4 linked regions of the Cricetulus griseus genome follow. The protein of the gene in region 3 interacts with the protein of the main gene of each other region in a pairwise test. Links are inferred from orthologs where the notes say so. Each region holds a gene or a part of one and is shown on either strand. Other genes may lie near its edges.

The links.
Region 1: the proteins of Myog (region 3) and Cluap1 interact in binary tests that used the Homo sapiens proteins (3 or more experiments, as listed by UniProt). The two-hybrid records come from large-scale screens. The link is inferred for Cricetulus griseus from reciprocal best matches to the Homo sapiens genes MYOG and CLUAP1.
Region 2: the proteins of Myog (region 3) and Txndc9 interact in binary tests that used the Homo sapiens proteins (3 or more experiments, as listed by UniProt). The two-hybrid records come from large-scale screens. The link is inferred for Cricetulus griseus from reciprocal best matches to the Homo sapiens genes MYOG and TXNDC9.
Region 4: the proteins of Myog (region 3) and huntingtin-interacting protein M interact in binary tests that used the Homo sapiens proteins (3 or more experiments, as listed by UniProt). The two-hybrid records come from large-scale screens. The link is inferred for Cricetulus griseus from reciprocal best matches to the Homo sapiens genes MYOG and H2AP.

The regions. Positions count from the first base shown.
Region 1 is NC_048600.1:42,740,743-42,749,710, reverse strand, and holds the start of Cluap1 (clusterin-associated protein 1), read left to right. Parts: upstream 1-4,601; 5' UTR 4,602-4,743; coding exon 4,744-4,765; intron 4,766-7,090; coding exon 7,091-7,202; intron 7,203-8,809; coding exon 8,810-8,894; intron 8,895-8,968. Other genes in the region: CUNH16orf90 (uncharacterized protein C16orf90 homolog), read right to left, coding at 1,494-1,651, 2,211-2,609, 4,335-4,398. UniProt on the Homo sapiens protein: Required for cilia biogenesis. Appears to function within the multiple intraflagellar transport complex B (IFT-B). Key regulator of hedgehog signaling.
Region 2 is NW_023276807.1:10,264,566-10,271,891, forward strand, and holds the end of Txndc9 (thioredoxin domain-containing protein 9), read left to right. Parts: intron 1-531; coding exon 532-786; intron 787-3,342; coding exon 3,343-3,460; 3' UTR 3,461-4,281; downstream 4,282-7,326. UniProt on the Homo sapiens protein: Significantly diminishes the chaperonin TCP1 complex ATPase activity, thus negatively impacts protein folding, including that of actin or tubulin.
Region 3 is NC_048598.1:54,924,259-54,932,417, reverse strand, and holds Myog (myogenin), read left to right. Parts: upstream 1-3,480; coding exon 3,481-3,951; intron 3,952-4,567; coding exon 4,568-4,649; intron 4,650-5,124; coding exon 5,125-5,246; downstream 5,247-8,159. UniProt on the Homo sapiens protein: Acts as a transcriptional activator that promotes transcription of muscle-specific target genes and plays a role in muscle differentiation, cell cycle exit and muscle atrophy.
Region 4 is NC_048604.1:115,606,501-115,613,262, forward strand, and holds huntingtin-interacting protein M, read left to right. Parts: upstream 1-4,390; coding exon 4,391-4,744; downstream 4,745-6,762. Other genes in the region: histone H2A-Bbd type 1, read left to right, coding at 6,659-6,762.

The sequences.
Region 1 (8,968 bases), on a different chromosome or scaffold from region 3:
AGGTGGCCAGTGTCCTGACTGGTTTCAGTTGTGTGCTGAGGCCCCAGCCCTGTGACCCCCTCCTTTTCAGTCAATGGTGATCATGTGATTTTCATTTCTGCCCTGTGTGGTCAAGGAAGAGCCTTCTAGGAGTTTCTGACTTGGACATTCTTAAATCCAACTCAAGCCTCGACCTGTCTGTCCCTCCCTCCTGTCCCCTAATTACTGCAGTGTCCAGCCCAGTGTTGAACAAATTGTAGTGTGTAGTCTCGTTACAAACAAATAAATAATTTCATTAGTCTCATCCTGTGTCTAGTAGCTGGCTCCCCACACTTTGTGCTTTGTCCTTGAGGGCTAGGGCTGAGGGCTTGAGATCTTGCTGGTGGCTCAGCCATGCAGGCATCTGTCCTGCAGAGAGTGTGAACCTGGTGAAGGCATCTACTGAAAGCAGCAACTGGGCTATTATCCTAAAGATTCCTACTTGCACCTGGCTCTCAGATTTGAGCTAGGACTTGGTCCAAGTAGGAAACTATAATTCTCTTCCTGCCCCCCCTTCTGTCCCCCATCACCATCATAACTTAGAGAAAGCTCCAAGGGTAATGCAGGCACATGGTCAGTAGAGAAACTGGCTCTGCTCCCAACCAGAGTGGGTGTCTCTCTGGTGGATGTTGTCTGGAGACAATTTATGTGGTCACAGCCTGGGGGGGGGGGGGCGGGTACTGCTGACATTATTGGGAAGTTACAAAACATCCCCCAGGGCACAGAATGGGCCAAAACAGATTTGATCCAGCCCCAAATATTAACACCCAAGGTCATCAACACCCAGGTACGGGGGGGGGGGGGGGTCTGTGGCAATGCTGATGGGTTCCTATGGGGCCATAAATTCATCTAATTCCTCGGTGGGGCAGTGTGAGGTCCAGGCCAACACACCTGCCTTGGTTGGTCCCCTCCTGGTTCTCTGTTTAAACCAAACCCACTTTTCATCCCTTTGTCCCTGGAATGCCATGCTCTGTTTTCAGGCCTAATGAGACCCTGTCTGCCTTCTAGAGCACCCATGTTCAGCACTTCCTCAGCCACAGAACCTCCCCATGATTCCCCATGTACCCCAGGAAAGCCTGAATGGATACAGGGCAGTTTTTACTGGATTGACTTGATGACAAACAGACAAGAAGGTGCAGGCCTTGGCTTTTACTGAGATTAGACCTGAGGACTACCTGGTCTCTCAGGAACCAGATTCTCTGCTCGGCCTGGCCTCCCAGGTACAAGTGGCTGACCGGAGTTTAGGCAGGCTGCAAGGGCACAGGCATGCTTCCATTTCTTCTGTCCCTCCCGTGGGACTTCCTCCTCCCTCCCTCATACCTTCCCCAGACTAGCCCAGGTCTGGTGCTGGGCAACTATGGGGGCCATCTCAGTGGGAGGGCTGCTGCTGGGACTGAACCCTTCCTCAGTAAACCTGGCCTCCTCCTCCTCGGCCATCCTTCCCCTACCGTCCCCAGCCCTGGCACTTTGGATCCTTATGTCCTCTCCAAGGCCCCAGAGCGGGTTCTCTTGCACAAGGGACACATGGTCTCCTCCAAGGCTCTCCAGGACCTCTTGGGCCTGAGTCCCAAGCCCTCATGGGGACCAGACTGGGAGGGGACACCCTTGGCTGGGTCCATGCTGGAACTGGAAGCTGAGGAAAAAGGAAAGAGAAGTCACTCAGGGACCCAATCTTAAACCCCACCTTGGTGTCCTTGGACCTTATAACCTTCAAGACAATTGAAGTGTTTGGTGCTACATCCTTAATAGAACTATTGGGATGCGGGGAGAAAGTGACATCATGGATCAAGCTGAAAATGTTAGGAACGCTTCATTTGTATAATGAACTGAGGGAGAGTTGCCCAAGGTCCATCAAAATACAGAATGAGGATTGGAACCCAGAACTCTTAATCCTAGATTTTCTCTGCCTTACACTCCTCATCCCAACAGGCTCCAGCTGTGGCCCAGTTGCATACTACCACCCCTGATATTTCCTAGGACTTAGAGTGTACATCCTCAGTGCGAAAACAATAGTGGGGCACACAGATTGAAAAATTCAACAAGATGTGGCCCCTGGAGCATGGCATTACTTTAGTGTGTCCTGGCCACTGTGTCCTTTCCTAGTTCTTGGCAGAGGCTGGGGTTTGGAAGAGGCCCATCTGAGTTCCCGTGAGTCTCCCTCATGTCTGCAGTCCTTCCTTAACAGAGCTCACCTGTATTTCCCAGGTTGTCCCTGGGCAGTTGGGCTTCCAGAAGGGTTGAGCAATGGCTGTTACCTGGACCCAGGGTCCCCTGTGGCAGGTCCAGGGGCCAGGCTGAGCCTTCAGGCCGTGGCAGGCTGCCCCCAGCCATGAGCCGGCCTAGCCAGTGGCTTCCACATTGACCAGCAGGCTGCATGTGGCCTGGCAGGTAGAGAGCAAGGCTCCGGAGGTGACGCAATCGGAAGTTCTTGGGCTTGCTTCCCTGGGCACCGGGGCCCTGCTGCTGCTGGGCCCCCAGCCCTCCCTCATAGATGTTGGGTGGTGTGTCAGGGTGGCTGGGGCGTCCTGGGGCCCAGCTCACTGCATCTGCAGGAGAGAGAGCAGGAGGGTGGTGGCCAGTGGGCCCAGCATCTGGGTAAAAAAATGCAGGTACCAGCTTATATGATAGGCCCCACCCCCAGGCTATCCAGCCTCAGTTCTTGTCTATTCCCATTTCTCCTCTCTGCCCCCCTAAGAAGCCTAGGACTTTTGGCACTGAGCTCTCTTTCAGCACTATAAGCCCTTTTTTGTGCCCTCTATCCTACAAAGGGTATGCTGGTGCCAGTATAAGCAAAGTGGGTACAAGAGTCATACAGCCTAGATCGGGAGTTGCTCCCCTCCCAAGCATTCGTGTCCCTGGGGTCTCCCCAGTAGCTTTGGACCCGGGTTAGAACAGAATGTCATCTCTGCTATTGCTCCTCCCTGCAGCCAGGCACCTTCTCTTATTCGAAGCTCAGAGAATGCACAGACCAAGGCTTCCATGGAGGGCCAGTATGATGGGGGAGGAGTGGCCAGGCCTTGTGTGCAGCAGGGCCTGCTCTCCCCTGCCTAGGAGGTGGGTCTGCAGGTCTCCCATGGCAACTGTTCTTATGATGTCACAATAAAGACTCTAGTCTTCTTGGACCCCTTAGTTTGGAAGAGTATGTTATCAGGTCAGGGGCAGAGTGGGAGGAGGGCAAAGGGAGGGGCTAGAAACCTAAAGTAAATTCACTGGTCTTCAAATTCAGGGCAAGACACACAAAAATTTAGCTCTAGCACGATGGAAAGTCATTCTATGAGGTGACCTTTAGGGGGCCTCGGCTTTCCCATCTGTGTTTGGGAGAAAGGGTTTGGGGTACAAACCTGGAGAGATTGGAATCATGCTGAGAAGGTGGTTCTGGGTAACACTTGTCTAATTGTCCATTTTCTCACAAGTTGTTAGGCAGTGTGTAGATGATCCCATTATTTTCCCCCTAAGTATATGGACAAACTGGAACTCTTACCTTGATGGTGGAAATGTAAAACTACAACTATTTTGCAATCAACTCAGTCACAAAACCTTCACGTTTCATTATAAAAAATTTCATTATAAAAAAATCTATGTTTTACATTTAGGTTTATGAACCATTGTTTTTGTATCTGGATAATAGTGGAGTTTCCATTTATTTGCTGTAGACTTCTCATTGTTCCAAAACCATTTGTTGCAAAGACGATTCTCTGTCCAAATGCATTGTCACCTATGTAGCGCTAGCCACAAATGTGTGGCCCTGTTCCACACGTTAAGTACTTAAGCATCTTACTCCTGGTCTGTATCACAATGTCCAGGTCAGGGACACTTTTACATCCTGTGCCTGCCCATCTTGGGGCTTTGCCTTCCTCTTCTCCCACCCTACTTGGCTTAGCTCATCTCTTCTCTCCCAAGTCCTTTTTTATCGAGGTCGTCCTCCCTGCTGAGCCTGGGCTGGCTCCTACACACACGCGCACACACACACACACACACAGGGGTGTGATACACCAGGCTGACTCCTACACACACACAAACACGCGCGCGCACACGCGCGCGCACACACACACACACACACACACACACACACACACACACACACACACACACACACACACACACACACACACACACACACACACACACACACACACACACACACACACACACACACACACACACACACACACACACACACACACACACACACACGGGTGTGATACCAGCGCTACCGACCAGCCTCAGACTTAACCACAGTTTCCAGGACAACCGCTGGCGTAAGGGTATGGAAACTGATTTCCGGCCTGTCGTGAAGACTGACAAGTTGTACGTACACGAAATCCTTCCGGGTACAGCTTTCCTGTTCTGCCAAGGGTAGCATATCTTCGTTCCCATCATTTTATGGCTACTTAATGCGGCTTCGACTGTAGAGTCTAGCTATGTTTTTACAAATACGAAGGAGGATCTGTCACATAAGGTGATAGTGCTCTCTAAAGAAATGAGGCAATGAGAGCCGCAACAGGACCGGAGCCAAAAGCGCTCAATGAACGGTGCGCGGCGCCACCTGCCGGTCAGTGCCATGCGCGTGCGCGCACTGCCCTCATCGCTTCCGGTCCTGTTTGGCCCCGACAGCGCGCTATCCAAGTGCTCTGCAGGTTACTATAGAGACCGGCGAGCGCTGGGCCTGCGAACTCCAAAGAGGCGAGCAGCCGCGCCCCAGTGGACTCTTGGGACCCAAACGCCATGTCTTTCCGCGACCTCCGCAGTAAGGCTGCACCCGGCTTTCCCGTGGGCTTCCCAGAAACTCGGAGCTCCCCTACCGGACTCCTGCCTGAGCCCTCGGCCCAGTCAGGCCGGTGGTCCCCAGCCCTAGACTAGCCAGGGAATGAAAGAACTTTACAGCACCTTTGGAAAGTTCTGTCAGTCACTGGCCGCGTGTGGCTAGAACACTTGGAATGTGTCTCGCGGCTGAGGAACTGGATGTGTTTAATTTTACTTCATTTTATCTCAATTTGTCACAGCCGCATTCGCAGCCTCATTAGAAAGGTCATAGGAAATGGCAGACTTTTTCTGTGTTTGAGTTTGTAGAAAGAAACAATAAAACCAAGGAGGTGACTGGATGCTCCTATTAGTTTTTTGTTGTTGGTTGTTGTTCATTTTTGAGGATTTGTTGTTGTTGTTGTTGTATAATCTATCACATACTGTTCTCTTTGTGGGCATTATTTCGTTTTCTCCTAGGCAATTCTTGTGCCCTGTGTCTGCCAGAGATGAGGAAGTAGGCAACAAGAGGTCAAAGTAATTTGGACGTAATAGCTAGAGCGAGCAGCTTTGGAGGTTGGACGCCGAATGTTGAGAAAAGAACTTTGCCGGAGAGTGGGAAAGTGGAAAATCTATATTAGTCACTACTCTTTGGAGAACATCTGTTATGTGCCAGGCTGTCATAGTTCACTTTTTGTTTCTGGTTTTAACTGCAAGTAGTATAGCTTCTCATGGTACACACAGCTAGGAAGAGTGGCAGGAAGGACTGTGTGACCCAAAGTCTTGGCCTCATTTGCAGAAAAGTAGCCGCTACTAAGATCAACCTCGAGTGAGTCATGTCTTCTGAGATTTGAGGGTATTTGAAACACTGTAATGATGGCTTCCCACATACTTTTTTATGAAGCCAGCACTTTCCTAGGGTCATTGAATAGCGATGTACTCAAGAGTATCCAAGAAGAGTATTTCAGAATGCTTACCTCAAATAAATACTGCATACTGTGTAATGTATAAGACGATGTCCCCACTGTCCCCACCTAACACTGGAGAACGTGATAGTTTCTGCTTACTGGAATGAAAGGTTTGGGCAAAGCCTGGCTGGAGGGGGAGACTGCTACTTGTTTTCTACCATCTTTTCCCTCCACGATCTGGTGCAGTTCACCCTGTTTTATTGTCCAAGTAGATTATTTAGAATTGTCAACAGGTTGTTTTGAATGGCCATCTTCAAGAAACACGAGTAGACATTGCACAGCCAGGAAACATGTTCAAGAGCGCAGCATATTGTGGGAACTCAGAAACGTTGACTGTGTTCATTTCGATTTTTTGAGACAGCATTTCTCTGTGTAACAACAGCCTCAGCTGTCCTGGAACTTGCTTTGTAAACCAGATTAGCCTTGAACCCACAGAAATCCACTTGCCTCTGCTTGGTTGTGTTCTTTTCTTTTTCTGAGACAGGGTTTCTCTATATAGCCCTGGCTATCCTGGAACTCACTCTGTAGACCAGCCTGGCTTTGAACTTATGAAGATCCACCTGTCTCTGCCTGCTGAATGCTGCGATAAAAGGTGTATGCCAGACGCTTCGAAGTGTCTTTCCTAGCCATCCGCCATGGTGGGTGGATGAAAGACCCGAGCTAACATGGGGTTAGCTCATTAAACAACTACAATAAAGCCTCATGCAGTTTGCATAAAAAAAAGTGTATGCCACCACTACCCAGCATTGTGTTTCTTCATTTTTGTTTTCATCTGTTTTCTTTCAAGCAATTTCTTTCTTTTTTTTTCAGGTGCCCCAACTTACAATATTACTGTTTACTAGTCTGTTTTTACATTAAATCTAAACACTGCATTATAGTTCAACCATTTTCTTAAAAATTTCTCTGAATATGAGGTAACTGATCTTTGAAATATATGTCATGAAAATTGTATGTGCTCACTGAAAAAAAAAAAATCTTGAATTTCACTCTACCCTGGGCCCTCCCATAAATAATGATTGACTTTTTTTTCTAATGATGTTTTATGAGGCTAGGTAGTTTTTATTTGGGATAGTAAAGATATCAGAAAGAAATTAAAGTCTCAGATATCCCCTAAGCCCTATTTCCCTGAAGAAAAATCTACTCTATTGAACTTAGATGTTTTTCATGTGATGGACTAGATACTGTAACTTTTTATCTGCCCCACCTTGCCTTTCCTCTTACAGAGTTGATGGATTCAGTACCTCAAGCTGTTACTAAGTTGGGAAGACCCAGTAAGAAGGGAAAGCAGAGAGAATAAGATTAACTACTCTCCAAAGAGTTGCCATTTGACAAGGACTAACCGAATTGTGTTTTATGTTGGACAGATTTCACAGAGATGATGAGAGCCTTGGGATACCCACGACATATTTCTATGGAGAATTTCCGCTCACCCAACTTCGGGCTTGTCTCTGAAGTGCTTCTGTGGCTTGTGAAAAGGTTAGAATGCACTTTCATTCATTAGCTAACTAGGAACTGGAACCTTTTGTGATGCATAGTGAAGAATATAGTGCAATCTACATAGAATGGACTTAGTTGTGACTTGTAAAAATTCACCAGAGTTGCCAGACATGATGGCACAAGTAGATCTCTGTGAGTTCAGGGTCAACCTGGCCTGTATATCAAGTTCCAGGCCAGCCAGGGGTACATAGGGCGAGACCCTCTCTCAAATTAAAAAAAAAAAAAATGAAAGAAAGAAAGAAATCATCAGAGTTGAAAGAACATGGAAGGAAGTGACTATCCTCATTAGAGTGCTGGCCAGGTTCCTCTTCAGCCCCTCACCACAAAATGGCAGGGACCTTCTTGCACACTCAGAATATACTGTGTTAGAAATATTACAGATGCTCTGGGATGACCTCTGATGTCAGGGACTAATGTACACATGCTTACACACATAATTAAAAATAAAAAATTAAAACAGCAAATAATGTAGAGTTTTCATTGTGTTAAAAGTCTTATGATTAGGATTGGCAACTTTTGTGTTAAGAAACAGAGAATAAATATTGTGTGTTTTGTTACACATAAAATTAAGTCTACATGAGATGTCTGTTGAATATTCTGTAGCTATAGGCTGTTGTGAGCCATATGACATTGGTGCTAGGAACTGAACACAGGTCTTCTGGAAGAACAGTTTATGTCCTTAAACTGTTAAGCCACCTCTCCAGCCCCTTTTGTTTGCTTTTAAAATGTAAAAACTATTCTTATCTTTCAGACTATACGAATACACGCTGAGAATCACAGGCTTATGGGCCTTTGTGAATTCTCAGTAAACAAGTAATTTCAACAACTCTGGTACTTCTTAGAGTGAATTGTTTAGTCCACATGTCCATCTTGGGCCAAGGGCTATCAGCCTGAGTCAAAATCTTGGTTATTTTCATAAAAGTTAGAAGTTTGAGATGGATTTAGTTTGTAATCTGATCCCATATTCTTTTTCTTTACACTTTATTTATCTCCACACTCGTATCATGGCACACATGTTCGAGTGTGGGGGTCAGAGGACAAGGTTGTTGAGTTGATTCTCTGCTTCCATCTTTATACAGGTTCTGGGGTTTGAACTCAGGTTTCTAGGCTTATACAGCAAACCCCCTTACCTACTAAGCATGTGTAAATACACATATGTGTATGGGTTCATGCTAGCCACAACATGCAACTGGAGGTTAGAGAACTGGTTGGTTTTCCCCTTGCACTATGTAAGTCCTGGAGATTGAACTCAGATTGCTAGGCTTGTTGGAAACCTGCTTATCCACTGAGTCATCTTGTGGTCTGTCACTTAGCCTCATTCTTAAAGATTTTGCTTAATCATATTGCCTTGGATGGGGCCTGGAAAACCTCGTGTTAGCAATACTCAATCACGTAGTTTCCCTTTAATGGACCTTTTTTGTTTTGTTTGGTGGCTTTGTTTTGCTTTGTTATATTTTAGTTAGGGTTTCACTATATAGATCAGGCTGGCACCCCCACACCTGACTCTGAGATTATAGGTATGCTCCTCCACACCTGACTTTAAGGGACTTTCTTTTGAATTGTCTCATGCTTATTCTTTCTGACAGATATGAGCCACAGACTGACATCCCTTCTGACATTGAGACGGAACAAGACCGAGTTTTCTTCATTAAGGCAATTGCCCAGTTCATGGTTAGTTCAGTTATTTTATAGAATTGTCAAATAAGTTAGAAAAAGATGAATCCTATTTGGGACTATTTTTTAAT
Region 2 (7,326 bases), on a different chromosome or scaffold from region 3:
TATTTATTTTTGATTTTTGGAGACAGGGTTTCTCTGTGTAACAGCCCTAACTGTCCTGGAACTAGCTCTGTAGACTAGGCTGACCTCGAACTCACAGAGATCCACCTGCCTCTGCCTCCCGAGTGCTGGGGTTAAAGGCATTCGTCTCTACTGCCTGGCTCACACAGCCATACTTAAAGAGTATTATATAACCTTTAACAGATAAGCTTCCTGATAGAGTTACATGATTCAGGGAGTTCTTGGTGACTCCAGTTTTTTTGGAGGTTTTGGTTTTTGGTTTTTCAAGATAGTGTTTGTCTGCTTAGCCCTGACTATCCTAGAATTTGCTCTGTAGACTATGCTGGCCTCCAACTCAAAGATTAGCCTGCTTTTGTGGCCTGCCTTTGCTTCCTGAGTACTGGGATTAAAGTTGTGAGGCAACACTGCCCAGCTCTGGTGATTCCAGTTTTTAATTGACACCAGCTGAATTTTTGCCTCTTGTGAATTCTGTCAACTCCCTTTAGGTTTTACCTTTCTGCTGTTAACTTACAGGTGTAAAATACTAGACAGACATTTGGCAATACTGGCCAAAAAACATCTTGAAACCAAGTTTTTGAAGCTAAATGTGGAAAAGGCACCATTCCTCTGTGAGAGACTTCGGATCAAAGTCATCCCCACACTAGCACTCCTGAGAGACGGCAAGACGCAAGACTATGTTGTCGGATTCACCGACCTAGGAAATACAGATGACTTCAATACGGAAACTTTAGAGTGGAGACTTGGTTGTTCTGATGTTATCAATTACAGGTAACCTATTGCAAAAACAAACCAAAAAATAAGTGGTAGTTTTGAGATTTATTTCTTTATTTTGTATGTGAACGTTTATTTTGTTTTATTTTATGAGATTAAATCCTGTTGGCTAAGATGTAGACAGCTTGGGAAAAGCCCATTTCTTAAGGCATAGAACAATGTGATCTTATAGCGAAACCAAATTTACAGATAAAAATTGAGGTTTGGAGGCAGCCTAGAAGATTTCAACATAAGAAATGTTACTGAAACTAATTTTGGAAACCCAAAGTGACATTCCAGAACAGATTACCTTTAGGGGGTGGGAGGTTGTTTTTTATGGTGTTAGAGATTCAACACAGAGCCTTGCACATGCTAGGCAAGTTCTCTGTCACTGAGTTATACCCTAAGCCTTACCTCCACAACTTATGACTGACTTAAGTGGTTCTTTGTGATGAAATTAAAATATAAAACATACTGCTACAGAGGTCATACACTTTTGTAATTTCATGTTTGCAGTATGAGGTGAAACCTTATATAAATTAGCTGTGTGCCTCACTACCACACCACAGCAATAATCCTAGTCCCGAAAACCATGCTAAAATACAGGCTTTTTTTATAGGCATGTATATGTCACATGCCCAATCTGAAAATACAAAAGGTTCCCATAACTGGAGAATGGTCTTATTTGTGGGACAGTCTAAAATCCATTTTCCATTTTTTGAGCATGGCTTTGTCCCTTCCAAATTGAAAGTGCCACCTGTGTTTTGTGCCTATTTTTGCTTTAAAAAGAAAAAAGGGAAAGAGAAAGACAGACAAGGAAAATTGTGTCTTTCAAAGCAGAAAATCTCATCTTTTTCTCTCCTCTGCTTCCCCTCACTGCTCTGAGTCCCCACTACACATGAATGAATCGTCCTGTACTATGGAAGTCCATTTCTTTTTGTTAATATTAACATACATTAACATTTGTTCAACAAAATGTTACATTTTGAAATTATTTCAGACTTTTTTTTCTTTTGTTTGTTGTCTTTTGAGACAAGGTCTGACTCTACAGTCCAGTAATGTTAAGCCCCCTGCCTCAGCCTCCCAAGTGCTGGGATTACAGATGGGATCCACCATGCCCAACTTCGATTTCAGATTTCAATTAAGTTGCAAACTAGCAAAAGGAATTCTTACATAGTCTTTACTATATGCCCACATTTTAAATGTTTATGCCAGATACATAACAAAGTGTCTTCAGAACGATATGACTATACTTCTTTATTTCTGAATGTATATTTCCTAAGAATAAGGACATTTTCCTGAACCCAGTTCAGTTACTAAAATAGCAGTGATGTAGTTTATAGAACCTACTCAAATGTACCACCATCCTTTTATTCTCCATGTCTGAAAAATGTGTCACACTTAGTTATTGCATTTAGTTTCTGTAACAATTTCTAAATTACTTTTCAAGGTTATACTTTTCAAGTTTATACTTTTCAAGTATAAGCTAATTAATTTCTCAGGTGTTCCATAGTTCGGGTCTATGTGTGTATCTCAGCATGAGACTCAGGTCTTTGTATCAGGACTGGTTGCTACGGGAGGGAGTCAGTGCCTGCATTCTTAGTGCACCATCAGATGGTTTGTCTCTCTTTAGTGCTATGGCACTAGGTTGAATACTACCATGTCAGGTAGTAATTTGATAAGGAACTTTTGTATAATTTGTATTTATTTATTTGTCCATTTAGTGATTAGTCTGGGCTATGAATGATTTTATTCTGTGGGTTGTAGTCAGTAAGACTCTGTTATCCTTCGAACCCTCCCTCTGTGATCCAAGCAAAGTGCTTTAGGAAAGCTTATATTGTATTCTCTCTCTAAAATAAGCTGTATTTCTAAGAAGTTGTGCTTACTGTCAGTGGCAAATGGTAGTTTCTTCTTTCCTTTTTTTCATTTATTGACTGATTTATTTGCTGTTTATTTAGGGCAGGCTCTCACTATATAGTCCAAATAGTTCTCAAACTCACAGTCCTTCAACTTCAGTCTCCTGGCAACTGGAATGACAGGCATGTGGCACCATACCTTCCTAGCAAATGATGTTCCAAAACTAACATCTGGATGCCAGGTTCCCCAGACACATACACAAAACTATCTGATCATTTATTTCTCTAGCATCATTGAAAGGATTTTAAAAAAAAGAAAATTAAGTTTTATGCCAATTCCAGGCTGACAATAGTGCATTCCATGGGTTTTACCAGTGTGTGTAGAAATGTAAACATTGGGGTGCCACACAGGAAGAGTCCCAGCAAGAGCACAAACACAGCAGTGTAGCCTGTCATTATCATTAGTACGGGTTCAGCACAGGGTCAGTGCTTCCAAAACACTCTTCCCTATCTGCTTCGGAATGGTGAGGCTCCATCTCATCACCCCCAAATTGTTTATGATAATGATCATGATACACAAGAAACTCAAATGTTGATCTAATACAGTTAAGTGAGGTGTGAACTATTAATCTTTAATATTAATGCATTTTACAGTCTAGCATCCCAAGGGTATTAAATCATAAAAAATAAATGCTCTTGAACTTTGTTTCACTTTTAGTGGAAATTTAATGGAGCCACCGTTTCAGAGCCAAAAGAAATTTGGGACAAACTTCACAAAGCTGGAAAAGAAAACTATCCAAGGAAAGAAATACGATTCAGATTCTGATGATGACTAGACTGTGCCATACTTGTAAACCACCTGTCTGTCTGTCTGTCTGTCTGCTTACTTCAATGTTAAATGTTGTTTCTAAAGTCACTTGATTTAGGCCCATTGACCATCTAATATTTGAATCCTAGCGTTTACACTACTTCACCATATGGAAGGGCATCATAATTACTATTTTGTCTTTGGCCACCGTGTGTAACTTGAGAAACAGGTAATATAAGTTAGCTGGAAAGGGTCTGGATTCTCTATTTTTGTGATTGAGTTTATCATAACATAATTCTTCTATCTTTATACCACTCACACTTGTGTTTTTAATCTACTGAATTAGAAACAGAAATTCAGCCACCTATTCCAGGATTTACTGAGTGCTGTCTATGGAAAAGATTGGGTGGCATTTACTGGTGTACATGCGCTTGTCAGTGATTTCTCACGTCATTGGTGGAATGTGTTTCAGGAACCATTAAAGATTTGCCCATGTATTCTGGATGCCGCATGTTGAATGTGCTGATACCAGCAGAAAACTCAGATTATAAACACATTGATTGCCTTATGTAAAGGATCCTCATTGCTCATATGCTGAGACATGCACTAAAAAATAACTAAGAGACAGTTCTTGAGTGGCAGCATATGGAACTCCAATGGCTGCTCAGTGAAACAGTTTTACCATAGGTAAAAGTTATTTTTTAAAAGTGTGACTCTGGAAATGACTGTATTTGGTAAGAGCACACAGCAACACAAACAAAAAAAAAGAAGTCTTGAAGAAAGATTGATCTTCAGTGGCGAACAAATTCTTAGGTTTGGTGCCCAGAAATAAATAAGTTTTGGTAAGAACAGCAAGTGTGGCGTCTAATGAGATGGTTCAGTGTAGAAAGGCACTGACCACAAAACTTAAGGACCTGAGTTCAATCCCCAGGATCCACTTGGAAGGAGGGAAATGGTTCCTGCAAGTTGTCATGTAACATATTCACATAATTCCAGTAAATACAAGTTGAATTTAAAAGGGTGGCTTGGGGTTTGGAAACAATGTAAAGCAGGAAAGAAGGGGGGAAAGGTAGAACAAACATTAACAAATTGAAAATGACATAAAGGGGTTGGCTCAGCAGTTAAGAGCACTTGTGTTGGAATCCTAGCACCCACATGGTGGTCACAGCCATGCACTAGCTCCAGTTCCGGGGGCATCTAATGCCACCTGCTGACCTCCATGGGCTCCAAGCACACATGTGCACATACATACATTCAGACAAGATGTGTATATGTAAACTGAGGTGGATCTAATTTTTAAAATACATAAAAATCTAGTTCTTTGAAAGCAACACACCTGTTCTGAGCAGTTGAGAGGAAAGACATAGCAGAAAAGATTCAAGTAAAATTGAAATGCTGATTATGAACATCTCTATACCAATAAATTTTAAAAAACAAATTCCTAGAAAGACCAACTAAAAAAGTACCTAAGAAGAAATAAAAATTTGAGTAGGTATCTAGAGAGATGGCTCAATGGTTAAGAGCACACATAACTGCTCTTGCAGAGAACTCAGGTTTGGTTCCTAACACCCATGTCACTGGTACCTCAAAACCACTCGTAACTCAAGCTCCAAACGGTTCTGGTGCCCTTTTCTAGCCTCTGCGGGCACCTGCACAGACAAGTGCAGACTCAGACATACATAAAGGAAAACCTTTTTTTTTTTTTTTTTTTTTTTTTTTTCTTTTTTTCAATTTGGGCAGAACTAAAACTGATAGGGACTTTATCCCTAACACCAGATGACTATATTGATAATTCAGCAAAACATTTTTTTAAAGAATAATTAACATCAGGTTTCACAAATTTTAAAACTAAAGCATGAGGGATGACTATCTCCTGCTCTTGGGCTAGTATTAAGCTAACACCAGAGCCAGACTGCAACATCAAAAAATTAGAGACCAATGACTTTTCTGAATACTCAAAAATACTAACAAACTGAAACCCAGCAGCATAAGAAAACAAGATTGCATCTTATAATCACACTCACATATACATATACCCAAATACAGACATAAACACACATAATTAGAAATAAGTCTTAATGAGCAGACTCTTGGGTTTTTTGAGACAGGATTTTTTTGTATATACTTGGTTGTCTTGTAACTAATTCAGTAACCCAGGCTGGCCTCAAACTCAAGAGATCTGCCTCCTCAGTGTTGGGATTAAAAGCATGCACCACCACTGCCTGATAAATCTTTTTAAAAATCAATGTAATTTGTCCTGTAGGTGCAATTGGGAAGCAAGTAGGAACGGCTACCCTGACAGAGCAAACCTAAAGCAAAATCAGAGACAAAAAGGTCACAACAGGCTCTGCGGTAGACAGTAGACCCAAAGCTGTCTCTGACGCATCAAAGAAGAGTGAGAAGAAAAGTAGTCTATATTCTAAAGATAAAGATGGGGAGCAATTCAGAAACCCACAAAGGAAGTATGAAAGCATGTCAAAAAGGTCTAGTGAGAGAAAAGCCAACCCAAGCATATGTGTGACTCAGTGGCAAGAGGTTATGTCAGGTAAGAGGGTCAGTCCTGGTGAAGAGACCAGCAGCAGCACTACCTCCGGGGAAGCCCACAGCTCTCAGACCCAGTTGTGGGCTTTAATGAGACCCTGGTTCCTCCAGCAGACAGATCTGCAGTAGAGGGGACTCCCATTTCTGTCACTCTGTGACTCAGTAGGCAGGATCCAGGCACCGTCTTGACAGGGAACTGAACTACACTGGAAGCCTGAGCATGGAGAACAACCACACAATGGCGAGCCCAAGTTTAGTTAGCTATGATTTGGTTCAATAATGACAGACAACCCTGGGAGGAGGCTATGTAGAATGGGGGTGGGGGGGTGCTCTCTACATGCTGACAGCTAACAGTACAAGAAACAGAAGTTAGGGCAGTACAGTGCACAGGACAAAAGTCCTGCCCTGGTTGCAAGGATCCGATCACATCAACTGAAAATAAACCTGGAGTTGTGTAGCCTATGCCTGTGGTCAGCAGGTGGACACAGATGCTATCTATCTAGGTAGCAGTATTGCTGCAAAACCTGGAGACTGAAGCTCCAGCAGGCAAGCTCCCACAGCAAAATGAGTGAAAATACAGAGTCAAAGAACATGGTATCTTGGTTGCTTCCATACTCCCGGTGCCTTGGAGACATCCATTTGTGAAGCCAGGATCTGGGGAGGGAAAGTGATGACAGACTATCAGCCCACAGACTGCAAAGCTAAGTATGGCCAGTAGAGGACCCTACTGCACAAAGAAGGGAAGCTACTAAAGTAGAGAGGTCCTACGGACAGACTTCAGACACTTGAAGAACCATAGAAAAGAGCCCTCCAGTTCAGCAGCCCTCACTCCCACACACAGGAGCAGCAGGCACCATCTCTTAGGCCCTGAAAGAAGGTCCCTTGACTCTTCATCCTTACTTGACCTCCTGGCCTTCCCTTGTGTTTGTTCTTAAACTCATAGAAGTTCTTTTACTTATCCTATTTCTTAATGTTTTGTGTTATTTCTTCTTTTTTAGTTCTTCATGGAGTCGTCCAATTTTGATTATGCATTTTTTTTTCACTAATAGGCAATCCTTTTTTTCTTTGTTCCTCTCAACTAGACTCTCAGAAGTATGCTGACTTAGTCTTGCTGGGGATACTCTTTAGTCTGTTGTTTTTAAAATTCTTGTTTTTATTTTGTACTCCCTTTTTCTGAAGGGAGAGGTTGGGACAGTTTCATGCTATGTAGCTCCATATAGACCAGGTTGGCCTTGAACTCAGAGATCTGCCTTTCGAATTCTGGAACTAAACATGCTGCCACCATGCCCACTTATCTAATTTTGTTTTTGAATGCTATCATTATTGCAAACTCTAGGCTTTTATTATTGTTTT
Region 3 (8,159 bases):
GGCCCCCTATATGCCCACACAGCAGGGGTGGGGATTAAGGTTGGATGCCCTGCTGTCAGGTCAGCTCTGATGGATCACCACTGATGGTGGAACACAAAGACTCCTCTGTGCCTGGCACCAATGTGTTCCCGTCCATCAGAGGGCAGCTCGTGGGGTGCTGGAGTATGCAGGGGAGAAAGACCAGGCATGTCTCACAAATTGATGAGAGAACAAGGTGTCTAGAGGGTCAGTAACCCCACCCCCTGCATTGGGATTTTGAAAAATCAGAGAAACCTGAGTGACTCCACCACTTCAATCCCAAGAGCATCTTTGAGATTGTGGGTTGCCCCACAGTGGGGCCTGGCATGCTTCAGACCACCTTATTCAGACATGCACAAAGACATCTATCTATAGACAAGGTTTCACAGGGACCCAGACACACCACTACCCCCCACCCAAACATTCAAATCCAGTGGTGCTTCCTGCAGACCAGAGCTGTGTCTAGTAACAGCCCTCATCCCCAACTCAAGGACCAACACGGAGTAGGTTGAACAAAGAAAGGAGAGTCCACTTCTCCTCTGGGTTATGCTTGTCCTTTTCCCAGCCTTCTCTTTTGTCACCCAGCACAGCACTTTCTATCATGGAAAGGTGACTGTGGGTACACAATTATCACTCAGCTGTGAGCACAGGGTGGCAGATAAATGACTTCCTATTCGTGTCTCCTGGCACCCACGGCTCAGTGCAGTTTCCTGATTGGAAGAATTGTGAGGAGGGAAGCTCCCTCCTCCAGTCCTTATTCTGTGGTCCATATGGTTAAAGCAGACACCTAACTGAGGAGCATGAGGATAAGAGCAAGTGAGGGCCCAGAAACAGAGAGATGATAAGGCACTGAGTAAGTCTTCTATTCACTGGGTGTTTCCATGTGTTTGACACACACACACACACAACACACACACACACCTACTGCCAGCTTGAAGCGTGTGTTTTCCCAAATCAAATCCACCCTCCTGCCCAAGCCAATGGTTCAGACCTTTACTGTCTCACTCCTGAATTACTGTCATGGGGTTTGGGGATAATGTGGTTTCCTTGTCTGTTTCCAAGTCCCTCCACGCCCAGTTGGGCCTCTTGCATTTATAGACTTGTTTTCAGCCACACCCCCTCACCAGAACCCTGAGATCCACACAAACTGATCCATCTTCTCACCTCTTCATGTCCTCATTCTGCTGGTTCCCCAAGACCTGATCCAGCACCTGTCCCTGCCCCAGCCCTCCACAGAGACTTAGCCTTCAGTGACTTTGCTATTTGTTTGCAAGTGATCCATGTTGTCCTTGTTTGGTTTTGTTTTTGTTTTTGTATGAGACAGTCCCCCAACTAGCCCAGACTAGCTTAGAATTGGCAGTCCTCCTGCCTTGGGCTCTCCCAGTATGGAATTAAAGGTGTGTGCCACCATGGCCACCCATCTCATTGGCTGTGGCATTAACAGCTTTGTAATGGAGCACAGCAGCAGGGTCCAGGTTCACCTACTAGGCAGCAGGGTTCTGCGAGCCATCTTAGAACAAGTCCTTTCTGCTCCCACTCCAGAGGAAGAAGACAGATTGTTTAGGGTAAGTCAGATTGGGTCCCACAAGGACAAAAGGTACCATTTTTAGGTTTCCATGGCAGCCGTGACCCACACACACACACACACACACACACACACACACACACACACACACACTTTTTTTTTCAGGGCTCACAGGACTGGAGTATAAGCTGAAGCAAGGTAAATTGTTTGTTTTTTCTTTTTGAGGGGGTGGGAAGCATGCTAAATGAAGAGATTATTGCTGGCCAGGCTTAGAACTCACACACTGTGCTACACTTTGTAGCCTATGAATGAAGTCAAGAAATGAATTAAGGCCTCTCGCTGTCCCAATTTACTGGGGGCTTTTTTATTGTCCAGATTGTTCCCTTCCCATTTGTCCTCTCCCTCAAAGGACAGCGGCATTTTCTTGGCTCTCTCTATGGCTTCAGGGAGGACAGAAAGCTAGTCCTCCAAACCCCGCACAGCTCTTCCCTCCACTATGACGTGAGTCCTCCCCGAGTCCTCTCCACCAGCACACTCTACTTCCCCTTACTGTCCCGACGGTCATCATAACGCATCCACCTCCTGCTCCACTACAAAGGGGACAGCAGGGTGGTTCACACTTTGTATGCAGGGTCCTGGGGGAAACCCTGACCCATGGGTTAGCTTTTGAGTTCCTATTAGAATAGGTTATCATGTGACATCCACAGGAAGGGGATTTGGGAATCAGAGGTGGGGTGAAAAAGGTGGCCAGGGGCCTGCAGCCTGCCCTTAGAACTGTCCTCCCTGGCCACCAAAGCCTCTACTGAGGTAACCACTGACAGATGCATCTGGAGATTAAATGGAACACCCCACACGTACACCTGTCATTCTAGACTTGTATGATGCATGCAGAGGTGATGACTCGGGCAGAAGAACCCAGGCTGGTGGCCCAGGAGAGACACAAACAATATAAAGGGCTATTCTCCTCACCACCCCAACTACAGAGAGGAGTCAAGATGAGGGCAGAAGACACCATTGAGGGGAAAGCGTGGAGAGACGATTGACAGTGACCGAGGAGGGAGACAGAAGGCTGACTAGCTCTTAACTGGCGGGGGAGATGGCAATGTAGAGGCTGTGAGTTCTAATCCTCACTCAACACTGACTTGCCCTCTTACTTAAGAACACCCCTTATTTAAGAAGTCCTCAAGTTCTCTTGTCTCAATCTATGCCCAACTACACAAGACCTAAGAGGACACCTAAGGTCAAACCTGCTGTGGAAACTCAGAAGTTGAATCCATTTGCCCTTCTGAGTTTCTGTCTTTTGCCTCCGTGGACCCTAGGAATTCACACACACATACACACGCCCCAAATTTGGAGTGGTCCTGCCGTGGTGGTAGGTCGTTAGGGGGGTCTCATAGGATGATGCAGTATGGTTTACAGTGCTCCCAAGCAGCACAGAGAAGATTAGATGGGCTCTGGAGGCCCCTTCTAGCCCAAAGCAACCCTTGTCTTGTGTTCTCCTGCCCTGTCCACCAGCTGCCTTGGACCATAGAGGAGAGCAGGCAGGCGGCCCGGATAGGAGTAATTGAAAGGAGCAGATGAGAGCGGGAATGCATCCACCCCCACCTTCCCTGCCCCACAGGGGCTGTGGAGAAATGAAAACTAATCAAATTACAGCCGACGGCCTCCCGACCCGTGCACAGGAGCCGCCTGGGCCAGGGGCAGGCTGGCAGGGTGGGGTGGGGGCAAAAGGAGAGGGAAGGGGAATCACATGTAATCCACTGTAAACGTCTTGATGTGCAGCAACAGCTTAGAGGGGGGCTCAGGTTTCTGTGGCGTTGGCTATATTTATCTCTGGGTCCATGCCAGCAGGGAGGGTTTAAATGGCACCCAGCAGTTGGCGTGAGGGGCTGCAGGAGCTTGGGGACCAGTGGCAGGAACAAGTCTTTTCCGACCCGATGGAGCTTTATGAGACATCCCCCTATTTCTACCAGGAGCCCCACTTCTATGATGGGGAAAACTACCTGCCTGTCCACCTCCAGGGCTTCGAGCCCCCAGGCTATGAGAGAACTGAGCTTAGCTTGAGTCCGGAAGCCCGAGGGCCCCTGGAAGAAAAGGGACTGGGGACCCCTGAGCACTGTCCAGGCCAGTGCCTGCCGTGGGCGTGTAAGGTGTGTAAGAGGAAGTCGGTGTCTGTGGACCGGCGGAGGGCAGCCACACTGAGAGAGAAGCGCAGGCTCAAGAAAGTGAACGAGGCCTTCGAGGCCCTGAAGAGGAGCACCCTGCTCAACCCCAACCAGCGACTGCCTAAGGTGGAAATCCTGCGCAGTGCCATCCAGTACATTGAGCGCCTACAGGCCTTGCTCAGCTCCCTCAACCAGGAGGAGAGAGATCTCCGCTACCGAGGCGGGGGCGGGCCCCAGCCCGTGGTAAGTGGCTGGTGCACCAGTCCTAGGGATAGGGCCAGAGGGAGGTGCCTGGTCAGCCTCGGGCCACCAGAGCTGGAACAGGTGCAAACCAAGGCCCCGGGGAATCCCAAGACCCCTTTCCTTGTCAGCTAGGCTGTCCACAGACCTTCTGTGCTCATTCTGTTTCCAGACCAGACAAAGGCAGTGGATAGTAAATACAGACGGGGCGGGGTGGACTGCACAAGAGCACAGAAGGGGCCCAGAAACAGGCCTGCAGTAAGGGCTTAGGGGAGCCCAGGGGAAGGGGAACGCTGATTTCCATGCTCCAGTCAGCACCTAAAAGGCCAGACCAAGTGGCGAAAGATATCTGCTTTGTCCCAAACCCACGACCTCCATGGCTGAGCTGACAAAACACATTACAACTGCTCCGAGGTCATCATAACAAAGTACTCTGGCTTATCACCTTACCCACAAAGTGAAGACAGATTCCCATCCTAGAAGCCAGGGAAGACCTAGAAAGTGGGGTATCTATGGCGGACATTCTAGAGTGGGTAACATACCCTGTAACCCAGGCAAAGATATATTATACCTGAGGATGGCAGTAGACTTGACCTTGGATCTTGGCCTTGTCTTACAGGTGCCCAGTGAATGCAACTCCCACAGCGCCTCCTGCAGTCCAGAGTGGGGCAGTGCACTGGAGTTCGGTCACAACCCTGGAGGTAAGTGTGAATCCTGACCTTGTTAACCATGGCTCAAATCACTTAGTCCCTAACTAGGCTGGGCTACTCCCTTACCTTATTCCATGTTCCAGTCATCTTCCTGTGGCCCCAAATGGTGAGCTGAAGGCCCTGTGCCTCCCTGTAGCCTTGATCAACTAAGGAGTAGTCACAGCCCCAACAGCATCCCAGCTGGTGTCTGGTGGCTGACCTCAGGGAGAAGTGCCTATCCCTGCCCCAGGGGTCCCTGGGAATTGCTGAGTCAGTGTTGCAAAACTGGGCCCAGTTCCCTAGGATACATTATCCTGGCTTCACCTTGGGATGGCCACTTCTAAAACCTAACTGCAATAGAGGAGTTCAGAGAGGCAGCACACAAGTACACACAAGTGGCTAGGGGGAACTCCTGACTCTTGCTCACCTATCTGTCCTGGAAAACCTGTGTCCTTGCCCAGGAAACACTCCTCTCTTCTTCTTACAGATCACCTGCTTGCAGCTGACCCTCCAGATGCCCACAGCCTGCACTCCCTCACCTCCATCGTGGACAGCATCACAGTGGAGGATATGTCTGTTGCCTTCTCAGATGAAACTCTTCCCAACTGAGATTGCCTGCCAGGCTGGGTGTCCATGTGAGCCCCCAAGGTGGTGTCAAAGGCCACCACTTCTGCCGTAGGGGCCTTTTAAGTGAGATTGTCTTGGTGCCAAAAAAAAACAAAAAACAAAATAAAAAAAAAACAAAACCCAGCCCCAGACTGCCATAGGCCAAACTACCCATTCCCCATTCATATAAGACTAACACCCAGCCCATCGAGGGAATGGATGCCCTCATTTAGCAGAGAGCATCCCCTTCCAAGGAAAGAAAGATGGGGTCCAGAGAACCCCCTTTGTGGATGTCCCCCAATGGGGCAAACTCAGGAGCTTTTTTAAAATCATAATATGCCTCTAATTCCACCCCAAATGAGAGACAGACAGCGTCCTGATCTGGACAAGCAATGCACATCTGTTCAATCTCTTCCTGATGCCAGCGGCTGGGCTGGGCCTGCCCTGAGTTGAGAGAAGGGAGAGGAGCTACCCTGTTCCAAAGTCCCTGGGGGCCAAGCTTTTGCAGTGGATATTGGGAACCTTCCAGCAGTTTGTGTATTGTTTTGTTTTGTTTTGTGTGTTGTTTGTAAAGCTGCCATCTGACCAAGGTCTCCTGTGCTGATGTTGCCAGGGACAGGCAGGGAAGGGGGTGGGGGCTCTTGGGGTGACTTCTTTTGTTAACTAAGCATTGTGTGGTTTTTGCCAATTTTTTTTGTAATCCTTTTGCTAACTTATTTGGATTTCCTTTTTTAAAAAATGAATAAAGACTGGTTGCTAGAAAAGTGTCTGCAATGATGTCTCAGGAAGGGAGGCACTGACAACACTGCACCTTCCCTTTAGGGGTCCATACACACAAGGCATGGAGGGGGGACAACTCAGGACGGATTCATGTGAATGGATACTGTGGTCCTGAGCAGGTCATTAGACACACGAGCCAGGTGATGCATGGCTGGGGAAAGACCAGCTCCTCAGAAATCCTGGGCACACCAAGGCCGGCCTACAAAGCACTCTGTTGTACTTTACTTCAGAGTCATTCACAGTCTACTATGTTCCAACTAATAGCCCAACAGGTCAACTGAGCATGCTCAGACCTAGTGCTCAGCTCACACGTACGTTAGAGGTATAGAGCTGGGTTTGCGGGGCTTTCCTCCCTCAGCTGTCTCCCCCTGTCCACCCCCCGGTCCACATGACCTCAAGCTCTACAGAAAAATAGGAGGTGACTACACAGAGCAAATGAAATCAGACACTGTCACTTCTTCATAGGACAAATAGCATGTCCCCTTACCACCCTCTGCCCTTCCCTCCAGGCACAGGGATACTCCTGTCCCCATCTACAGCTCAGAGATGAGATTGTGCTGAGGGAGCTGGGAGACAAAGAACATTCAGAGGTGAAGCTGTGGTTCTCATCATTTGGGATGCTACTTTTCCAAAGACTGGCTTCCCCAGGGGAGAAGGTGGATGGGAAACTGAGTGCAAAGACAGTGGCTAGAGATTATAGAAGGATTAGCAGAGGAGTTCCAAGAACTTAGAATGCGAATGGACCAAGAACACCGACTTCAACTTTACTAATTCCAGTTGTGTCATGGTGTTCGTCTGGTTTACTGCTGTCCTAACCATTGCAGACAGGGATTCAGTGCATGGTCCATCCAGGGACCTTTATGGGGCCCTTTGGCAACTGACTTGCGGGTGAGAAGGTAGGCCCCATCAAGGAGCCTGTTTGTCTCAAGCAATTGTTCATCCTGGTTTGTGGGATTTTCTTCTTTTTGAGTTTGTGTCATTGAATTACAGTTCCCCAGATAGCCTGAAGAGGGATATAAGTAGAGCCTTAATCTACTGTCCTTGGGATGAAGTAAGTACCTGCATCACCACACCTTACCTCTATACTCAACTTACAAAATACTCGACTATGCAACTAAAAAGGGCTCTTTTGAGATTTATGTCCTCCAGCCCAGCGGGTACCACCGCACTGCCTTCAGGTGTGATGCACCTCTATCTCTGTCTTTCTAGGCCCCTGCAAGGGTCTAGCGCTGGCCAAGAGTAAGGGCACTCAATGAATACCACGGAGCTCATGGTTTCTGGGGTTGCCAGATGTAGTGTTAAAGCCCATTCTTTTCAGTTATTTCAACTGGAAACTGAGATGCATATTCACACTCGAAGAATGGCAATGGTCACCAGGGTCAACTGACCCCTGCACTGGTAGGTGTAATCACAGCTTGCAAGTCCTCAAGTCACAATCCGCCAGTACACCACAGATGTGAATGACTAACCCTGCCACACAGGAACCCAGAACATTTTCACAAAATAAATGCTATTAAGCGTAAGGGTTTCCTTAAATTAACAAATTCTCAATCTTCACAATTAGAATTACAGATAACGCTCACGTTAATGAATAATGAGGTGGAGTTCTTTAGGGAAATTAACTTAAATTCCCTCAATCATGGCAAGTAACTACAATAAATCAAGCTGGGTTAATCAAATGCTGCCTAATAATGGACTTTAAGGAATCCACAAGAATGAAAAGACAAGAATTACTTGAAACTGGCATCCAATTGTTAGTGTGGATATAGGAACTTCCTGATGTTTGGCTAATTGTTATACATTATAGAATGCTGAAAGTGCCATCTGTGCCCTCCAGTAAACATTCTTAGGTGTCTAAGTTCCCAGAAAACTAGGTGGTTGGGGCAACTGATGTGGAAGAACGATGGTAGGAGAGAGGAGTCCCCTCAACTCAGGCATCTGTCCCATGGATGAAATGCCACCTATTATCCCCTAATATGTCATGTCCATGCTCTTTAGTTTCCTGGTTTCTAAGAGATGCCTAAGGGGTGCTAGAGCTCTGATGGGGATGTTCTTCTGTACATATGGTTCTCTTACTGGTTGATGGATAAAACACTGTTTGGCTAACAGAGGCAGGAAGATAGGCAAGAGTAGGAG
Region 4 (6,762 bases), on a different chromosome or scaffold from region 3:
TCACAAAAAAGGAGATGTTTTTCTTCATTGTCTGGGATTCAGAATCTTCCAGATGATGTGGTGTGCACCCAAATGGTGACTTCTGGGTATTGAATGGTTGTTTGTTTCCTCTAGGGAAGAGACAGCAAGGCAGGGGACAGATGGTTTTTTGTTGCTGCCATGGGCACTACACTCTTTGCAGTGTACAAAAGAGACTTGTTTTCTTGAGAAATAAAACAAGAAGCTAAACAGGAATGCTGGGAAAGAAAACCTCTGGGACATCCCCAAAACATCTTCTGTTTTCATGCCTGCCAGGGTGTGGCCCCCAATGAAGTAGTTGCTGACAGTGGTCCTTTGACAAACAGTGACTGTTTACCTTCCCCAAGGTTTCCCCAATAGTGTGGATTCAGAATTGCTGGCTATGCCTGAGGGCATTCATTGCCAATTCATTGATGCATATTTGCCTAAGTTTCTTTTTATTACTAATTTTTATTTAAATTAAAAACAATCTTATTTTACATACCAATCCCATCCTCCTATGCCTCCCACCAACACCCCATCCCATCCCCCATTCACTCTCCAGAGAAGGTTAGGCCTTCCATAGGGGGTCATCAAAGTCTGTCACATCTTTTGCAGCAGGACCTAGGCCCTCCCCCATGTATCTAGGCTGATAAGAGTATCCCTCCATAGGGTTATATACTGGTTCCACTTCCAGAGGCCCCATAGACTGCCCAGGCCTCCTAACTGACACCCATGCTCAGGGGGACTGGTTTTGTCTTATGCTGGTTCCCCAGCTGTCAGTCTGGGATCCATGAGGTCCTCCTTGTTCACGTCAGCTGTTTCTGTGGGTTTCCCCAGCATGGTCTTGACTCTCTTGCTCATCACTCTTCCCTCTCTACAACTGGATTCCAGGAGTTCAGCTCAATGCTTACCTGTGGGTGTCTGCTTCTGCTTCCATCAGCTTAGATGAAGGCTCTAGGATAGCATTTAAAGTAGTCATCAATCTCATTATAGAGGAAGGACATTTAAGGTCATCCTTGTGGATCTCTGTATAGCTCCCTAGTGCCAGATTTCTCTTTAAAACTTTAAGTTTTGTTCATGGTGATAGATATGGATTTTTCTGCAATTTTCTACATGTCAGCATCCATTTATGCCAGCACCATTTGTTAAATATGCTTTCTTTTTTCCATTGTATAATTTTAGCTTCTTTTTCAAAAATCAGGTGATCATAGGTGTGTAGATTAATATCAGGTCTTCAATTCAATTCCATTGGTCAACCTGTACGGTTTTTTTGTTTCAATGAAATTCTCTCAACTTTATATGGAAAAATAAAAAACCCAGGATAGCCAAACAACCCTGTACAATATAGGAACTTCTGGAGGCATTACCACCCTTGACTTCAAGCTCTATTCTAGAGCTATAGTAATGAAAACAGCTGTCTAAGTTTCTTAGTCCCTCCTCCAATCCAGCTATGGCAGGATTTTAAATCTTAACTCTTAATTATGGCCCATGACCTCTATAATAGAGGAACATACCATATCCTGTGGTTTATGAGAGTTTCTAGCTTTCTCACTTACACTGAGAAAGGTAACTTCTGTCCTCCACTGAGAAAGCTTTTTATTTTGTTTAATTTTCATTCATGTCAATAAGACTAAATTGTATCTTGCTCCTCTTTCTAATCTTCATGTCTACCTGATAGTAGTTAAGGAAACATGTGACTTACCAAGTGAATATTGAATAGGTAGCTATCCCTGGATTCCAGGCCTGGAAATAGCAAGGCTTATAGTTAAGAGCTTGGTGGCCAGCACAAATGAAAACAATAAAAACCAAGAGCACTCAGCCAGGTGAATGAGAACTCTGTAAGCCTCAGATCCCTGTGAATGAACTGAAGCACACATAATGTACTTATGTTCGCAATCTACTAAACATACTGAAGTGGCTTTCCTAGTATGTTTCTTTATTGCTGTGAAAAAATACTCTACTTGGGGAAGAGACACTTGATGTGGGCTACAGATTAAAATCCACACCATTGAGGAAATCCAAGGCAGGAACTTAGAGACAGGAACCAAAGCTGAAATCATGGAAGAGTACTGCTTACTGGTTTACTGCCACTAGCTTCCTTAGTTACCTTTGTTTTCCTTTTATTTTTGACATTATAATATAATCATACCATTTCCCCTTTCCTCCCTCCAAACTCCTCTTCTTCTATATACCTCTCCACTCATTGATTTCTTCAAATTTACGTCTCCCTTTTCCATTAGTTTTTGATATACGTGTGTGTGTGTGTGTGTGTGTGTGTGTGTGTGTGTGTGTGTGTGTGTGTATCAGTTTGTATAATGTTACTGTGATAGTATATGATTATATGTATGATTTTAGGGATAACCATTTGGTATTGGATAACTAATTGGTATATATCCCCTCGGGAAGTTCATTTCTCCCCAGCTCTCCTTCATTGCCTATAGTTCTTTGTATAGGGCTGAGGTCTAGCAGTCATTCCAGTGTTGGCATGTTTATTTTTTTCCTTGTTCAGCTAGGCAGTTATGTTGGTGAGACTTTATGGGTCTAACTTCTGACATTGCTAGGAAACAAGATCTCACAGCAAACTGTCTGAATCCTCCAGATCTTCGAATTTCTCCACTTTCTCTTCCGTAGTGTTCCCTGAGCCTTAGGAGTTATTTTATAGATATATCCATTAGGACTGGACTCCACAACTTGTATTTTGATTGGCGCCTTAGGAGTTATTTTATAGATATATCCATTGGGACTGGACTCCACAACTTGTATTTTGATTGGCTGTGGTTCTGTGATGGTCTTCATCTGTTGCAAAGAGAAGTTTTCTTGATGAGAGTGGATTACATTTGCCTTTGGGTTATAAGAATAACCAAGGGAAATAGCCACAGGTGTAGGTTTGGGGAGTCTCTTGGAGTACACTGACCAACAACACCAAAAGGGGATTCTTATACCTGGTGTTGAGTTTTTATTAGATGGTCTTTGCCTCTTGTAGGCCCAGGCCTCATTTTCAGCCCAGTTGAGAAAATTTCATCTAAACTATATGTGCATATTTATACACAGTTTCATATATTAATTTTTTTCTAATTTAAAGTCAATAGTGTGATTCCTTTTGACTCATTCAGATATCCTACCCCCTAGAAGGAACCCCTAGAAAGAGTATTCCAAAGCCAAACAAGGAAGTAGTTGGAGGAAGTAGTGGGTACTTACCACAAGGGAAACAGTTAGAGGAGATATGGAAGAATAAATATGCTCCAGGAGGGTACTAGGGGAGGTGGAGTGGTACCTTAAGCTACAGATTCAGCGAGGGGGGGTATCACATTATATTTACTAGCCCTTACACATCTATGTTACAGAACCAAATCTGTTCCTGGGGAATCATTGAGGTTGTTTGGATGAGACAATCTAAGGTTAGTAGTTCCTCCGTTAGTTAGAGCACTTTCCCAAAGAATGAAACAGAGACTAGGGGTAAGGATAGGGAAGCTTTTATTAAAAAGCAGAAGGGTAAACTTTAGATTGTTAACTGAGCACACAGTATCACCAGCTGGGTGTACAGACATATCAGATAGTCAGATGTGTTGAGGTTGGAAACCAGCAGTCTGCCCGGGATATCTTGAGTAGTGAGTGTGGAAACTGTTCCACCTCCTCTGGAGAACACAGGAAGAAAGAACCACATTGATTACTGTTGGATTTGTCTAGAAAGTCAGTTTCAAATGTGTTCTGTGTGGTTTCCATCCTCACGATGGGTGTTTGAGATAGGAGATGGCTAACCAAGTTTGTTAACATGAGTGATATTGTATCTTTTGTTAGCTTTGGACTAGGGAGGCACAGATACTTATTTAATGTGGTTAATTTAAGGCCCCAAGGTGCTCTAATGGTTTACCTTTAACTGAGCTGGGACAGGAAATTTGGGGATTACTTGATGATGTTTTAGTGTCTGAAGGATCTAAACTTCCTCTTTCAGAATATTCCTCCTTTCCCAGTTTCCTTTTTGCATACTCCAACAGTTTGAAGAGGTCAGTCAAACCTCTACCTGGAAAGTATATTTGATATGTTTACCAGTACCCTCTAATTAATGAAAGGTTATAAAGACAGTTTCCAATTAAAACATGTTATTTCTACAATGTTAATTTGACTGTAATTGAGGGGAGTTAAATGTTTCTCAAAATCAGGGCAGGGAGGTGAAACTGCTGTGACAGACATTTCTAGACTGAGGCCTAGTCTGAGCCCATTGGTGCCCAGACACCAATGACATCTCAAAGTCCAAGATGTCATAAAGGTAGCTGCTGACCAATGAGTAGAAACTGGGGATGCAATGAGCAGGGCTGAACATTGTCTCCCGAGAGCCAGTCCTGCTGGTGGGCCAAGCACAGCTTGCCGGAGCCCAAGCCATCAAACCATCATGTCAGGGAAGAAGAACCAAGGAAAGTCTTGCAGTGACAACAAGAAGATGGAAGATCCTTCTTCTAAGCCCGAGGTACAGATTCCTGTGAACTATGTGTACCATCTACTGCAGGAGGAGCAATATACACCCTGCCTAGGCTCTACCACTTCAGATTTCCTCCTCGCCATGCTTGATTACATTACTGACTATATCCTGGAGGTGGTGGGCTCCGAAGCCAACATCAACAGCCAGCAAGACATCCCACAAGACAGAGAGAGGCAAGGGGACAACGACCATGACCATTCTCATGCCTTCAAGAATGCACCTTTCTCTCTGTTTGATGAGATGCCTGGACCCAGAAGGAATGGCTAAAGAATTGGGGACAGAACCCAAGGGTGGGAAGCCTCATGAACTCAGCTAGGACCATGATGGCTAATAGCAGAGGAAACTCCCCTGGTTCCATGAATACTAATAAAGTGTTTAAGTGAAAGTTGGTTGTTCTAATTCTTTTCACTTTGTCTTTCTGAGTTAGAGGTGTCTGCAACATACTAACGAAAGGGTGGAGGATGGAAGTTGTGGTTTGCAATGGGTGTATGAATCAGTGACTTACAGTGAGCACATCTCTGTGGGGGTGGCTTAGGTGGAGGGGTGGAATTGGAAGATGGGAGGAATTGGATGGAGGGAAGGGCAGGGAAGCCATCCTCATTGACTCTGAATACAAAAGAAGCCTTGGAGAAGCTTGGAAATTGGTTGGAGCCTCACTGGCAAGTTTGGCTTTTAGTATGGTAACTTAGAAGACACTGCTGATGACCAGAAATTCTGCTTGGAAGCCTTGTTTTATGGGAGTGAAGGTCTCAGAAGAAAATGCATGCTGGGATATAGATGTTTACAAAGTAGAGTCAGAGATAGGTTGATAAATGGTAGTTTATTGGGGAAAAGTACTCACGCAAAGGAGCATGAGTGACCAGGTTTTCACCTGAGTGGGACCGACCCAGAAATGCTTCCTAGTCAGTTCAGCCAGGCAAAAGAGAGCTCCCTTCTTCTTAAACCCTTGTTATATAACTCTGATCATGCCCAAGTGGGCGTGGTCAGTGGTACCTGTGACCAGGCAGAAGCGGGCGTGGTCAGAGGCACCTTTAATCAGGGTTTCTCCCTACACTGGGAAGGGTTACACATTGCAGGCAGTTTGAACAGAGCAGTTACCTGATGCTGGAGTGATGCTGAAGCCAGATGGAAATACACATTTTAGATGAGGAAAAGTGGTTAAGCATCAGGTTTTAGTAAATGCCTTTCTAGAGAGCCTGTGATCTATAGAAATTAATCACTTTTGGATAGAAAACAAAATCTAGCTTGCCAGATACTGTCCATTTGTCTGTTATCTCAGATCAATTGAAAATGTTATACTCTCTGGAAATACTAGTTAACTTTTTAATATCTAGATAAGGGAACCAAAGTGTTTTGACTTATATTTGACCCTTGATTGAATTGCAGAGTTGAAGACATAAGCTCTATTTCTTTGAACTCTTGTCTTTTCCCAGGCCTAAGGGCTTGCCAACAGGGAATCAAACAAGTCCATCCTCAAATTCCACCTGAGACACTAAACAAAATCTAAGGAATGGTGACTACTTGATCACATAGAACTGTTCACCCAGATTGTTCAATCCACCTACAATGGCTTCTCCCAGATTAAGGCCTTTCTTCTGCAATACTGCCTGAAATTGTGTCAGATGGTGATATTTACTTCTATACTAATTCATAGCTATGGGCCAGAACCCAGACTTTCCACATTAGATAGCTTTTTACTCAGACCTTTGAACAAGGTCTGAGTAAACTGATGGATTCCCTGATGTTCCTCATCTGCTTATGGGGGACATTTCATGTGTAACAGATCTGTCAGTGATCAACAGTTTCCAGAAGGATGTACAAAATGTCAAAGGTGATGCTAGAATCTTAGACACTGGAATGGTATGCTAAAGTGGGATGAACAGTTTTCATTGAAAGCCAAATGTTTGCTGTACTGATAAAGAAAAGTGGGACAATTTCCCTGAAAAGGTAATGTATTCAATAATGTGAGCAGTTTCCTAACATGGGCACTTCTAGACTGGAGGAGGACCAGAGCCCAGGAGGCACCAATGACATCACAAAGCCTGGTGTCACAAAGGCCTCTCCTAACCAATGAGGTGGAGAGATGGGCACTGGGTGGCTATAAAAGGGGGCGTCTTGAGAAACACAGGTCAAAAGAGATCCATCTGCGACTAAATCAAACTCGCCATACCAGCAGGCACTATGGAAGAGAAAAAGCGCAAGGAGACCATCTCCCGTATCACCAGAGGTCAGCTACAATTCTCTCTAGATCGAATAGAACGCTTCTTCCGAGACGGAAACTTCTC